Caenorhabditis elegans: one gene and its partner. The protein of the gene in region 2 purifies or fractionates together with the protein of the main gene of each other region. This does not show direct contact. Each region holds a gene or a part of one and is shown on either strand. Other genes may lie near its edges. The genes, in order: sel-13 and nuaf-6.

Evidence for each region.
Region 1: the proteins of nuaf-6 (region 2) and sel-13 fractionate together in Caenorhabditis elegans (co-fractionation; one large-scale study listed by BioGRID). This does not show direct contact.

Annotation. Positions count from the first base shown.
Region 1 is NC_003281.10:4,698,030-4,702,209, forward strand, and holds sel-13 (Zinc finger protein 830), read right to left. Parts: upstream 2,196-4,180; coding exon 1,927-2,195; intron 1,880-1,926; coding exon 1,444-1,879; 3' UTR 1,378-1,443; downstream 1-1,377. Other genes in the region: dnj-18 (J domain-containing protein), read left to right, coding at 97-303, 676-987, 1,037-1,267; clp-2 (Calpain catalytic domain-containing protein), read right to left, coding at 2,420-2,494, 2,584-2,815, 2,987-3,224, 3,286-3,739.
Region 2 is NC_003280.10:11,493,046-11,503,594, reverse strand, and holds nuaf-6 (Phytoene synthase), read right to left. Parts: upstream 5,931-10,549; coding exon 5,599-5,930; intron 5,532-5,598; coding exon 5,369-5,531; intron 5,320-5,368; coding exon 5,056-5,319; intron 4,627-5,055; coding exon 4,123-4,626; 3' UTR 3,970-4,122; downstream 1-3,969. Other genes in the region: B0334.20 (uncharacterized protein), read left to right, coding at 3,136-3,195, 3,812-3,952; emc-5 (Membrane magnesium transporter), read right to left, coding at 5,732-5,944, 6,413-6,614, 6,734-6,753; prel-1 (PRELI/MSF1 domain-containing protein), read right to left, coding at 7,114-7,389, 7,435-7,616, 7,668-7,768, 7,819-7,892; ooc-3 (Chloride channel CLIC-like protein 1), read left to right, coding at 8,281-8,454, 8,501-8,598, 8,649-9,111, 9,174-9,292, 9,341-9,447, 9,498-9,630, 9,687-9,889, 10,082-10,131.

The DNA of each region.
Region 1 (4,180 bases), on a different chromosome or scaffold from region 2:
ACATTAAAAGTATTTTATTCGGTTTAACTACCATTTTGAATTCATTTTCCATTATAATTTCCTGTATTTAGTTGAACTTATACTTTCAGCTTTGAAATGCTCCGATTGGCTGTGGCCAATCAAAAACGAAGTTTATTCTTATCAGTTCCATGTAGTAGTCAACAGGATCATTACAAAGTTCTTGGATTGGCACAATCAGCCTCGCAAAAAGATATTAAATCTGCATATTATAAACTTTCGAAACAACATCATCCAGATACAAATCCTACAAATAAGGAGGAGGCTGCTAAAAAATTTCATCAGGTACTTATTGATCCCGTTTTGTGATTTTTGCGCTAAAAACGGTTTAACACGTTTTTTGATAAATAAGGGTGTGCGCCTTTAAAGAGTACTGTAATTTAAAACTTTCATTGCTGTGAATTTTGAAAATGTGTTTATTAGTTTAAAACAACTAAAATGCAACCATTAAAACACATAAAAAACTAATTGTGAAAAAACGTTGAAAAATTACAAAAATTCCACACACCCCTTTAAAGGCGCACACATAATTGTACTTTAAACAAAATTGTCCTGACGAGACCAGGAATACCGTAATTTTGTTGCAAAAACCGGAAAACATTGCATTTTGGTAACATAAAAGTTGCTTCCTGTGAGTTTTTAATGAATATTTTTCAGGTTGCCATGGCTTACGAAATCCTGAGCTCAGAAGATAAACGAAAAGCATATGATATGACACGAATCAGAACTTCTCCGATGCCTAATGACCCATCATCATTTAGCAATCGATATCGGCGGCGGACATCTTCAAATTTAAAACAATATACAGATATTGATATTGACTACAAAGATTTTGAACATTTTCAACGGAGCACACGACGAAGACCTCAATATCATTCACATTTTGATATGCCAAATGAGTTTTACGCAGAGTTTGGAGGATTTAAGAAACGAGTATTCAAAAGTGAATATGAAGAAGCACAAGAGAAGGTTTGAGAATCTCCCGGTGGGGTTTTAGAGCAAACTTTGAAAATTTCAGCACGGATCAATGTATAAAGATGGTCGAGCAGCGCAAAGAGAAATGGAAGAGCTCCGACGGCAAGTTGAACGAGAACAAGCGGCTCATCAAGCTCGATATCCAATCCCCACATTTGAGCAGATAATGAGAGATAAACGAGCAAAAGAAGCCAGTGAAGCACGACAGTACATGGCTGGAATGTTTGTGACTGCTGTGATAGCTGGATTTTTGACTGTACTCTTGAGTCGTTAGCATTGTCCCGGTAGCTCGGCATTAGATCCAATTGATTTTCGATAGGTTTTCATTTAATTTTTAGAAATAAATTTTAAATTAATATTTCACTTTTTCTTCTGGTTTTCTTTGAAAAAAGATTTAGTTTATATTTAGATAAAATAAAATGTTGAGAAACATCTTGAGAAAATTATATTTTATGCGAAAATATTCTTTGCTCGCCAATCGAGCGCATCGAGATCAATATCCTCTCCGTCATCATCTTCCTCTTCTTCCGGTTCTTCTCGTTTCAGACGTCGCTCTCTCGCCTGATTCAATCGTTTCTCCTTCTGAATCTCCATATCATTCAACTTCTTCAATGCAGCCATTTGTTCGTCGATTCGCTCCAGTTCCAGCTCTCGTTGCACAGCAGCTTCGAGTTCTTCGGCTTTTGTATCCAATTCGACTTGCTCTTCGCCAATCTCCTCTTTCCATCGCTCGTATTCGGCATCGAGTTCGGCATTTCTTTCACGAGTTTCACGAACATTTCCATCCAACCGCTTATCATCGAAAAATCCGGCAGGAACACCTTCAATCAGGTTAGAGTTGTGGCCTACAGTGGCAGTTTTTGAATCATCTTTACGGAACGGAGTGCTGAAAATTAAAAAGATCTATTTTAGTTTAAATAATTAAATAACTACCTTTCATCATCGAAAAAGTCTGTGGGTAGAGTCGTTGGTCCCTGATTTGGTACTTCCTTTTGTTTCTTATTCGGTGGTTCATCTGTATTTCTGGTTGAACTCTCCTTTCCACGCTTCTGAGCACTTGTCTTCAACTTTTCAATACTATCTCTGTGCTTCTTTCCATTAACATGTGCCGTCCAGATTTTCGGCTTAATCTCTGCATTGCACACCAAGCACTGAATATTTCCATTTGGTTTCTGCTTCGCGATCATTGGATTAAGGCTCATCTATATACAATTTTGTTTTTAGTTTTGAAAGAGTAATGATTAAAGTATTCAAATTATGAATAAAACATAAGTCATGATATTGAAAAAAATTATAGCGATTAAAATTACAAAAATTTATACAATGGCAATTAAAAATACAACCCGAGTTCTAATTTTAAAAAAAGATGAAGATAAAAATGTTGTAATTGAAAAGACACCGTGCGAGATTAGATTGATATATATATTCACAGTTTAATGGGCTCGAGGTCAAATTTGCAAGTAGAATCGATTCGGAGGATGAAGGGGCCTTTGTCGCCTGCCTGAAAATTAAAGATTTATTTTTTGCATGAATCCAAGGATCCAAGGCGCTACAGATAATATTTTAAAGTTTTTTCAAGTTTCAACTTACCGTATAAGTTGAAATTTTCACGTAATACTTTCCTGCTGGAACTTTTTCCAGTGTGAGAACAGTGTATCCAGGTCGATATGCTCCCGAACTTTTCGTTTCCAAGAAAACAGTTCGATCTGATGAGTTTTGTTTCATTTCCAAAGCGACACAAAACTGTTTTGGAGCTTTTAATTCCATAAATAAAGCGATTTCATCTGACTTTGAGTGAAGTGTGAGTTTCATGATAGGGTATCTGGAAAATTGATTTTTTTTATCAAAAAATTGATTTGTCAAAAAAATCTTTAATTTATTTTTAGAATGTGATTTTTTTTCTCGTTTTTCTCATCACTTAAATATTTTTGTTAATTTTTAAATATTTGTTGATTACGCTCTTCATTCTAATTTCTCATCCAAAAAAACTCACTTATCAGAGCCATCCCAGTTTCCACGAGTAGTTTTGGAAATTGAATAGGGAAGCTGTACAGGTTCTAATTTAACATCAGTTGTTGAAAATACACGAAGAGAATAGTTGATTGTATTGGTTTTCTCATACTGAGCAACAACCAACGTGTATTTGGTAATTCCTGGTTTTTTATTCGAGAGTTGACATAAATACAATGGACTATTGATACGAACACCGTCGGATATTGGTTGCGGGTTGCCTGGAAAATGGAAATTAATATTTTACTCATTATATATAATTCAAACAAAAAAAAATCTAACTTGGTATATAGATCTTTTGCCCAGTTTCATACACAATAAGAGTGATAAACTCTTTGTTCACAGCAAAATCGTCGATCGCAGTGATATGCCTTGTTAATAGAATCCACACAGCTGCAGCTTTCTGATTCAAATTCACTGTTAGCGTGTATTGAGGATTCTCTCCAACTGTGTAAACATCTCGAATCGGTCCAGTGTCTTGTGTCCACGTGGCATGATATACAGATTTGAATGGAAAGAGATCAGCATTCCAGTTGACATAGATCACATCAAAGAAGTGACGAACAGATTCATAATCAATCCAAAAGATTCCATCATCTTTCTCCGCTGCTACTTCCGGATCGAAAGCCAAAGCATTTTTCATTTTGGCAGTCCAATTGACTTTATCCTTATCTGAGAAATTTCCCTTCCATCTTGAATGTGTCCACGGGTTCTTCACTTTGAGTAAGCGTTTTGTCTGAAATTTTTAATATGCAATTTGTAGATTTTTTCGAATTTAATAATGTCATTTATAGCGAGCAATACGCATTTTAATAGATTTTTTTCGTATTTTTGGCAAAAAAAAAGTTTTTTGCATTTTTTTTGATAAAAAAGTAAGCGAAAAAACGGATAAAAATCTAAAAATTTAAAAATGTTTAAATTTTACAGTTATTCCGAAAAATCACACTCGAAATCATATTTAAAATTAGTTCGCTTTTTTTTTTAGCTTTTTAGCAAAAAAACGTTTTTCGTTTTTGATTTGGAGAAGAAAAAATGTTCAATAACGATTCAGAATTATGTCAGAAAATTAAATATTTTTTAAATGCATTTTCCGAACAATTTTTACAACAAAAAAAGATATTGGGCCACTAGGAGCCATACAAAAATCTTTATAGTATTAAGTCAAATGTTATAAAAA
Region 2 (10,549 bases):
ATAGACGCACTTTCTCACATACACGACGACGACGATAACAGAAGAGGAGATGGATGAATAGATGGATGAGAGGCAGAAAATGAGAAGAAGAACGCTTGTTGGAATAGAGAGAGAGAAAGAGAAACCGTTCACACTCCGCCCTTATTCCTCCTGAAATCTCCCGCCTTTTCACGTCAAACATATCCAGATGGAGCACACGGAATCCAGCTCTCTTATAGTCGTAAACATATGGTAATCATTGGTATTCCCAATTTGGGAAGTTTGAAATTTCGTGCTCAATTTACAGTTGGAAAATTGAAATCAAACCCACTCTGGAAAAAGTTAGGACGGATTGAATATTACTTGTTCAATTTTTGCCGTTGCTCTACAGCTTCTCATTGAATGATTTTTGAGCAATCCTTGTAACAATTGAAACTATCGAATTCCCTTTAACGCCAAATAGTTTCCTTTTGCCGAGAATTGTTGCGCCGAAAAAAGGAAACATAAGTAATCGTTGTTTACGTTATTTTAGAATGTAAATATGAAAATACACAAGGTACTTTTCTAGTTTTTGAACATTTGATTTTTTTCCCATTGACGGGGTCAAGAACAAAGACATTCAATGTATTCAATTGAATTTCTGGAAGTTTCCTATTAAACAATTATATCTCGGCTAATTTTTGTTATTTTAATTGGCATAATGCGCAATATTGAAGCTTTCATGATAGGTAGGCACGTTTTCTACCTACCTACCTACCTACCTGCCTAGGTACTTGACGCTTGCATCTTGTAGATATACACACTTCTCTTTCAAATTAGTTTGTCAGAAACTCCACTGGGAAATGATAAATGTTTCCTGTGTGCTTCTGGAAGTAAGCAAGCTCTTAGGCAAGGCAGCCGCAGGCCGCTTAGATACCATAGATACCAGACATGCTGAATTCTGTGCCTACATCAATTATGTGCTTATCGTAGAATTTTTTCCAGTATTTTTAAAAAATTTTCAAAGTACAAATTATATAAATGTAAGTGAGTCCCAGGAATACCAAAAAAATTTACTCGAAGTTTCGTTTCCAATTTTCTACAGTAAACTTAAATGGGTTCAGTAGCAGGTTAAGGGAAAAACGGTAAAAATAAAACAAATTCTAAAACAAAAAGGCTATCTCACTTCCGGAACTCGAAGAATGACAAAAAAATTAAAAATCGAAATGTTGAACTTTATCTGATAATATTCTGATCATCGCCAAATGTTTCAAGTTTTATGTTTTCGCCTTGCGTAATCCATCACTGTCTTCGCCTCACCAAGCCCTTGTTTTTCAAGTCTCGAATCATCGTACCGGCTAACATGTTTCCGATATCTAGTTCTTTGGGTGGCTTCAATAGTGATAAGCAGTGATAAGTCCGCAACTATCACTTTCTTATAAAGAAGAAAGTGCATGAAAGACTGGAGTCACGGAACGGATAGATCCTTTCGGCAAGAAGGAGATTCGAGAAAAAAGGTGAAAGTTAGACAGAATCTGACGTGGCAAATCGGTTGATAAGAGATAAGGAGGAGTGCGCGTCCTTGATGCTTCATCATTTTGTCTCAATTTGGATAGACTAATGGCATTTGCCGATTACTATCGGTTTTCCCGATCCGTTCCGATACATTAGTGATGATTGTATTAGAAGCTGCATTGGATATACAAAATGAAACATGATAACCAATTTTCGAGAATCCTTCTGAGAAATGAATCGTTTTCAGGCTTAGGCTTAGTATCCGGCTTAGGCTCAGGCTTACGCTTAGGCTTTGGATTTGGCTTAGGCACACAAATAGGCGATTTTCGAGCCTGAGCTCAATTCTTGATATCAACCTTTCCTCAAAATTCATCAAACAACAGATCTAGCAAAGATCAAAAAATTAGGGTTGAAAAAACTTTTGAAATTTAAAAGGCCAATAAAAAAAGTTGCTTATAATAAATGTCGTATTTGGCAAGGACGGGAAATTGATGGATTGCATTGAATGAGGAGGGGAGCGGCTCCTGCAAAAACATGCGCAACTAGGTGTGTTTGATGCAGGAGACAATAATATGGAGTACGTGGATCGATGAGACGCAGTGGTTACTGTACAAATACAGAGAGGGGGTCTCGCGATCAAGTGAGACAGACAGAGGTATTGAGAGCTTCTCTTTCAGCATTTCGTGACAGTTTGAAAGTGAGAGGAGAGTTGAAAAATATTGGAGAACAGGTGAAAACAATATGTATGATGGGCAGGGTTTTACAAAAATGAATCGGTGGTCTGGACAGTTTTCTAGGAAGACTATGCACTTTGCATAGAAGCTTTAAACCGAGAACACTGTCACCAAAATCTCTCTTCAGAGCCTTCAATTTCAAAAAAACTTTACCGAACTTTTTGCCTAAACATACAGAATCACAAGAAGAAGAAGCGAGTAACGCCCGGAAAAATGCAATTCTTTGCAAAAAAAGAACAACAAAACTAACACTAACAATCTAAAATTCTGATCCCAGAACTTTAGACACAAAAACACAAAAAAAATCAGGATGCGAGTTCAAAAACATAAACATCTTTAATACTGCATGTTCTCTTCTTCCAGCATTTTTCTTGTAAACAACGAATTGAGTTCATTTTCAGCAAATTGGAGTTGACAGATTGGCGGAGGCCTCCGGAAAGAGCAAACAAATTTTCAGAAGTTGAACGGAAACTTTTGTAAAGTATGTACAGAATGCATTCAGAATTTGCAAAATGAGCAGAGGGGGTGAAAATAATTCGAAAAGCTGCGCAAAACTACTGTACTCTTCGAAGGCGCATAAAAATTTTCATATAAACTTATGCGGCCGTGTCGAGACCTGGTACCGTATTTTTCCATCATAAATTGCAGCATTTCGCATCCGAGTAATATTTTTTGTTAAAAAATTTAGATTTTTTCCAGGCTGCTCTAATTCTCTTCGGAAATATTCAGCTAAAATTATTAGACCTGATAGATTCCTTTTAACATGTCTAAAATTCAAAACATGTTTAAATTGATGAACACCCGAATAAACGGTGTCAAAACTGGATTGCTAACTTTAAATTTTCTTTGATTTACACTTGATAGAAATTTCTCATTCTAAAATGGAAATTCTGCGTATAAAAGCTGATTGAATTGTGAATTTCTCATAATGATTGCTATTTTCGCCGGTCATACTCAATTTCCAACTGATAACAGCCGTATCGCAAAGGTAAGCACGTTTACTATAATGTTTATGTAATTATATATCAATATTAAGTGAAGTTTTCCGTAAGGGCGCTCTTGATTGTGTACTTACTGTTAAATGCAAAATACGGCATCTGGCTCGACACGATAAATTTTTATTTGAAAAAAGCGAAAAAGCGTGCGCCTTTAAAGAATACTGTAGTTTCAATCATTTGCTGTTGTGGAATTTTAACTGATTTTACATAGTTTTTTGTTTAAATTTTATTTAATTAAAAAATTTTAATTTATTTTTTTAAAAACTAACATAAATCACTTAAAACAGATACATTTTGACAAATCGTTATGAAAAGTCGATAAAAATTCCGCAACAGCACAAGTTTGTAACTACAGTACTCTTTAAAGGCACACACCTCTTCGGTTCCGTGTTTTTGTTCAAAAATTTCGCATCAGGTTAATCGGAATATTAAATTAAATTCGCAAGAGCAGTAAATGTAGTCTAAATGTAGTTTTAAAATAATATTCGAGAGAAGTGTTCCAGCTTAACGCTAAATTTGTAAAAATGGCTTCCCCCTTCAAATTGTTGTTGTTATATCTTTTTTTTGAGGATGTTCTCTTCTCTCAAGAGAAAAAATAGCTTCCAGAATAACAACAACAACAACAATTCAAAAGAGGGTTCATCTTCGAGTATTCTCGTATTGCACATTCTAATTCGCCACATTCTTCTTCTTCCCGCTCTTCTTTACGATGGGCTCCTTGTTATGATTCAGTTATCCGTTTACTAGTCTTCGTAGTACTCCACACTGATTGTAAGCTCTTTACTTGATGCCATAAATATAAATATAACTATTCGAATGAGAGAGAGAGAACACGAAATGGGGAGAAGGGGAAAGGGAAAGAGGAAAGAAAAAAAAAGAAGATGAAGATGAAGAAAAAACACGAAAAATATAACATTTTAATATTTTGAGCACAGTTTTCGAACCAAAAGTGACCAGAGAAGAAGTGGATTTCGACGTTGAAGATGAGGAGAGTAGATGTCATAATTATTCTTTTCGATTGTTTTAATGATATAGTCAGTTGTGGCTCCAGTGGCTGCAAGCGCAGGTCTCACAGCTTTCGGTACCATTTCTATCGGACTTCGAGCATCAATAAGTAATCGTTTTGACTCGTTGACCAGATCTTTTGTCATTCCAACCATCTCATCGAGCTTCTTCTTTTTATAAAGACTATCCGGTGTGGCACCATTTAAAGACATCACATCAGCTGGTAGAAGAACGATTCCACGAGCCAGTAGTGGATGTGTGGCACGAATCATATTGGCGATAGCATACGCGGCTCCGAGATCTTTTGCAACATCGTAGGCCATTGGGAGTACTTTAGTTTCTGGAGAGTTACGAGCAAGAGCATCGATTTGTAGGCACAGAAGAGACCCGATTGTTGATTTGCCATATTCGCATAACTGGAAAAATATTTAGTAATTTTAATTTTTTTTTTTCAAGAAATTTGTCTATTTTATCTACATTTTAGATTAAAAAAAACCAAAATTGGTTTTTCTCATCTAAATTCCGCATTGAAAAATAATGATTTTTTTCTTTGATTCATAGAGCAAAAGAAACATATTACTCAGATGCAAAAGTTTCTGGTTTTTGCTCCAAAAACACCGTAACCGGTCTCGAAGCGAACGATTTTCTTAAACTCGGAAGAGTGTGTGCCTTTAAAGAGTACTGTAGCTTCTAAAAATCACTCAACGATGAGGAAATGGGAGCTACAGTAATCCTTAAAGGCGCACGATCTTTTGAATTTAAGAAAATCACAAAATATTTGCGATTGGGAATATGTTAAATTTTTCGGACATATTTTTTCGAAATTTTTCAATATTAAAACTCACAGCATTAATATCAGAAAACTGCCTATCACCAATTGTTGACTGGCGAGTTTCAACCAGTTTCAGAAGCATGTCAGAGTTGGCACCAGCGGCGAAAGAGCACAGAGCAATAGCAACAGGTTGACGTGGTACAGGAAGTGGAGATATTCCGTAGATTGATGAAATAGCATCCTTCCAGAATTGAAGGCGATACATTGCTGAAGCGTCTCCTTTTCTTGTGTCCACTTTGTCACGAATTGAAGCCAACTCGACGTTCAGTGCGTTAAGCTGAATTTGCCCGATTTTAAAACTATTTTTGGGTCGAATTTCTACAAACCGCGACAATTTCTGGCTGTGCTCGTTTATTGATAGTCAAAATGGCTAGATAACTGTCGATATCGTGTTTTCGAACCATTTCAAGACAACTTCTGAATGCCTCGTCGGCCTGCTGCTTACTGATTTCTAGGAATCGGGTCCTTTTTGGCATCGATTTTGGGATACTATAAAATGGAAAAGATTTATATTTTTAAATAGTTGAAAGACATAAAAGACAAAACAAATTATTACCGTGCACCCGGAATATTGCTAAAGTCTGGCGAACGACTAGGTGTTTTCTTCTTATCATTGGAAATGTTATTATTAGATGAGGTGTCGAGGAATGGAGAGGATTTTGTAGAGAAGTGACGAGCAGAGATTGAAGTTATTCCTGAGAATCGTCGGCCGAGTCTTCTTCCGTTTGAATAACTTCGGAGACACGTCCACTGTGAGTTCCACGAGAAGAGTTTTGTCGTTGACGTTGCTGTTGTTTCAAGGTTCGGAGCATCGCAAATTCTGGGGACATTGCTTTGGCACGGTTGTCGAATGTGATGAATGATGGACAATTGAGTGCTTCGTCGCATGATCGGTCGTGGTGCTGGAAATTGGGAAATTGAAGTAAATTGAAAATGCCAAAAAACAGGAAAATTGATTTTAAAGCTCCGAACTAATTTTTGTTTTAAGTTTTTTAAAGGCGTAGTAGCGAAATTGGAAAAAGAGAAAAAATTGCTTTTTTAGACCCAAACTAACCAAAAAACTGCCAATTTTCGTGATGAGGACCTTTGAAAATTTCTCAAAAAAAATCATGGCGGTTCAAAGTATTGGAAAAAGGCGCATATTATAGCTAAAATCTCAAATTTTGCCAAATTGTCAGTGCCGCCACTGACGGAATTTTTTAACACTTCTAAACTGGCAAAATTTGAGATTTTAGCTGAAAATAGTTATTTTTCAAATACTTTGCACAGCCATAATTTTTTTTGAAAATTTTCAGATATTCTCATTACGAAAATCGGGTTTTCCTCGTTTTTGGTTTAAACAATTTTCATGAATCTCTCCTCCAACTCACTTGATCCTTCTTTATGAAAAGGAATGGATTGGCCAGGAAGGAAGTTCCGTAGATCAGTGCAATCAAGGAGATAACTGTCTGAGCGACGACGTCGGATGGGAGATTGATGAACGGTTGCTCAGTGAGACGCAGGTAGAAACGGTGTTGGGCGGCGGAATAGGCACAATGGAGCAATGAGAGAAGCGAGACGATTGTGATCAGGCTGCAACAGGGGATTTTCTTTTGATATCTATGTCTCTTTTTCTTGTGATTGATGGTTATTTTTTGCTGATTCAAGTGGAACAACTGCCGTGTTCCAGAAACTTTTGGGAGGTCACTCACCGGTAAATAGTACTCGCCATATCGTTGATCGAAGACCAAGAAGCTTTTTGAAGGAGTTTTGAAAAGCCTTATTGAGAAGAGCCTAAATATTGGAGATTATGATAGATTATAATGTAATTCAGACAAAAAAGGTCAAGAAAGATAACAATAGCTGGTAAATAACCAGAAAATAGCCAAAAAAAATTCAAAAAATAAATTGAATATGTACATTTATCAGGAGAGATTGAGAGCCAAATAACAAACAAATAATGGTCTCAGTTCAATGCAAAGAATGTGCAGAAGATTCAGTAATTCTATGAGAATTGAGATTTTTTTGGGGGGACATAAATGAAAATAACGGGAAAAAGTGAATGTTTGAGATTTATATTCAGTATGGCTGACTAGACATCCTCTTCGCATTGGACATGAGTGACGAGATTTGACGATGACTTGATAATCTTTTCCTTGATCATTTTCATTTTCTCATTAGCAACGTTTTTGACTCCAAATCGCTCTTCTAGCTTCTCAAACAACCCTTTCGTTGTGTTATTGATCGATTTTTTGAAGCCCATTAGTAGGACTTTCTCGTAAACTGAGCTCATTCGACCACAATCGATTGAAACTGTGACACTTCGCAGTACGTCAGTGAGAAGGGCTGGGTGATGCTGCTGATTATCCTGAAAAATAACAGTAAATAGAGATTTGAAATAACAATGATAAACCTCGGATGATTTGTAAATGCATCGTTCATGGAGTTGAAATAGAGAAATGTGTGAAACATTTCGAGTGTATGTTACGAGTTTTTTCGATACTTTATCATAAACACTTTCTTCAATGACAGGAACAACTTGAATATCTGTCATTCTCGAAATCCAACGAGGAACACGTTTCAAAATCGAGCTTCCTGAAAAATTATGCGAATAATTTACTGGCTCTTGTAATATCAGCTAAATACCTTGCTTGACAATCAATTTTTTAGTGACAATAGTGTTGTCAGTGATCTGGCGTTCGAGTACATCCTCCGAAATGATGTGTTTTGCATGAGAATTTGGGTATCTGAGGGTTTAGAAATTGAAATTACCATTTTCCGAGATTTCCTGCCTCACCTGTCCCAAAACGCACTGGCAACCTCATCAAATGAATAAGGGAACGAGGTATTCGGAGAATCCCAAAGCTTCATCTTGAAGTTTACTGAAAAACAAGAAAATTTGATGAAATTATTGCAAAAATCGATGAGAAAAGTGTGGAAAACTGTGGAAAAGAAAATAATGAATGCAAATTTCTCGCGTACGCAGGCATCGAAATTCACGACAATTCTGCATACACCAATTGTCAACCGTATTATACTTATTAATTTGCCTTCTGAAAACTTGTTTCGCAATTCTTGAAATGTTTCGATTTTACAATTTTCTGAATATAAAAAGTGAAGTTTAAATGCGAATTATCTGAAAACTCGGAAAAACACAACATTTTATTGATCAAACAACTATGTTATCTTATGAACTCGCCTGTCAGTTGCTGAGCGTGCTGTAAACATCTTTTCTCTTTCAACTTTCCGCTTGTTTCAGATGAAAATAATATGGGTCACACTTCTACTCCTCGTCCCGCAACTTTTCGCAACTCAAGACATTGACGAAGAATTTACACATGAAAATGTGTGGAAAGATCCGAATGATCCAACTTCTGGAGAAAGCCCGCCAGCGTCAAAACGACTTCTATCTGTTCGAAATCAAGTTCAGAAGGTAAACTAAAAGCTTTAAAGAAATCCGTAAATAACCCATTCAATAGTTTCAGCCTGATCAAAGTCTTCGTCTGATTCTTCGACAACTTCTCCACGAAACCAAAATTGACTATCATTTGGAAGGTTCAATTAAAAAAGATGTACAGTGAGTATATTTTCTTCTAGTTCCGATATATTTTAAGCTTTGAATTGCAGAATTAAAATATCTCGGCACAGCATGTCGGTTCTTTCGAAGTATTTAAAAAATGATGAAGCAGATTTGGCTGAAGAGAGAGAAGCCGTCCGATCCGCGTTGTCAAACATTTTCAGCGTGAAGCCTCCAGCTCCAGATCGTACTTGGCAGGATACATTTGTGACTCTCCAACCTTTCATTTTCACACTGAACATCTTCATTTTGCCCGCGGCTGCTTTTGTTGTTCTTCGATCAATCGTTCGGCCACGAAACTTTTGGATTCTCGTTCTCTCAACTGCTCTTCTTGTTTCCATGTATTCTGGTTATAGCAAAAAATATCAAGAAGCAGAATCACGAAGATTTGCACAATTCCAAGAGCATGCTCATGATTCTTGTGCTACAGAAGGATTACTCTCAAGAATGGTTGAAATCCTCGCATCGCCTTTCCAATATCGGCAAAAATCAAAATGTTTAAAGTACATTGAGGTTAGTTTTTGTTTTATTTCTTCTTTGTTGGGTTAAATTATTTTAAATGTTGTAAATTTCAGAGTCAAACCATATCGATTTTCCACGAGATTTCTATCATCGAAGTGTTTTCTGAGACTATTTCCGGAGGATTCTTTGCGTTTTTTTCTGGTTCTGCGAAGCACTTTAATTTATTCTTCAGGTATTTTTTGACGAATTCATAAAAAAAGCTGTAAATTAATTTTTCCAGAAATCTATATGACGGTGCTCCATTGATAGCTCAAATCGTGATGACAATCTTCCTTGTTCTAATGCTTGGAGCTATTCGAACTCCATTCTTTAGTTATGAACCGATTTGTAAGAAATTTTAATTTAATAGTTAAATAACAAAAACTAATATTTTTCAGGGCTCAACTTCTGTAGTTCCAGTATTGGAAAAATCGCGGGTTGGCTGGATGGAGAACCTCCACAGCAGCCAGCTCCCCAACTGCTTATAACAGCAAAAGAGATGAAAAGATTAGAACAGGCAAGAAATAAAAAGTATGATTGCGGTGTTTTTCCTGTTAAATTGTGTGAAATAACGAATATTATTTCAGACCCGAAATGATAAGTTATCCAACATCGGAGCGAGAAGACGTCGTGAGTGGAAGCGAAAATGGGAACGAGAAAAAGAGCGACAACGAGAGAGAGGAGTCGATGAAGATGGAAGAAGACTCAGCTCCGGTGGAATCGTCGCTAGAAGACGATCTGAGCTTACTCGGAGAATCGAGTGAAGATGAGGATGAGGAGAAAGTTAACGGTAATGTTTTGAGCAGGAAATTCAGATGGATTCCAGTTGCCCATAACATAAATTCTGCGAAAAATTCAAATTTAAAAATCATAAATTAACATCTAAAAAACTAGAAAACTAAAATGTTCACCGCTTCGTCCTTTATTGATTTTTGTGTAAAACAATATAAACTTATTAAAAAGCTTTACTTTTAAATTTCAGAATCTCCTGCAAAAATCGACTCAACAACCTTATCAGAATCAAGCTTCTAATGACTCGAAGGTCAACCCAACCCGTTCAATTTGTTATCTCTTTTTTTGTTTGTACAATCAATATTTTTCCCTCTTTTTTGTACATTTTTAGTTCATATCTAGAAATCACTTTTACTAATTTTCCATTCTTTTCCTGTAGATCTTGCCTATTACCTCTTCCTTGAATTACACTTTACTGGTAGTTTTTTTTGTTGCTTTCCTTGTCAATGAATCATCTCCGGTTTCAAAATTAATAGTTCTTTGAACTTGAGATCAAATGTTTACTCATCAAGCTATTTCCGAGACCTTTATGAATCTGATGACGTCTCACGAAGAAGGTTTTCTCAAAAAAATAATAGTCATCATTGTAATCTTTGCTGTTGAATTGCACTGAATTCGTTGAATACATAGACGCAGACAGTAAAAGAAACGAGTCACA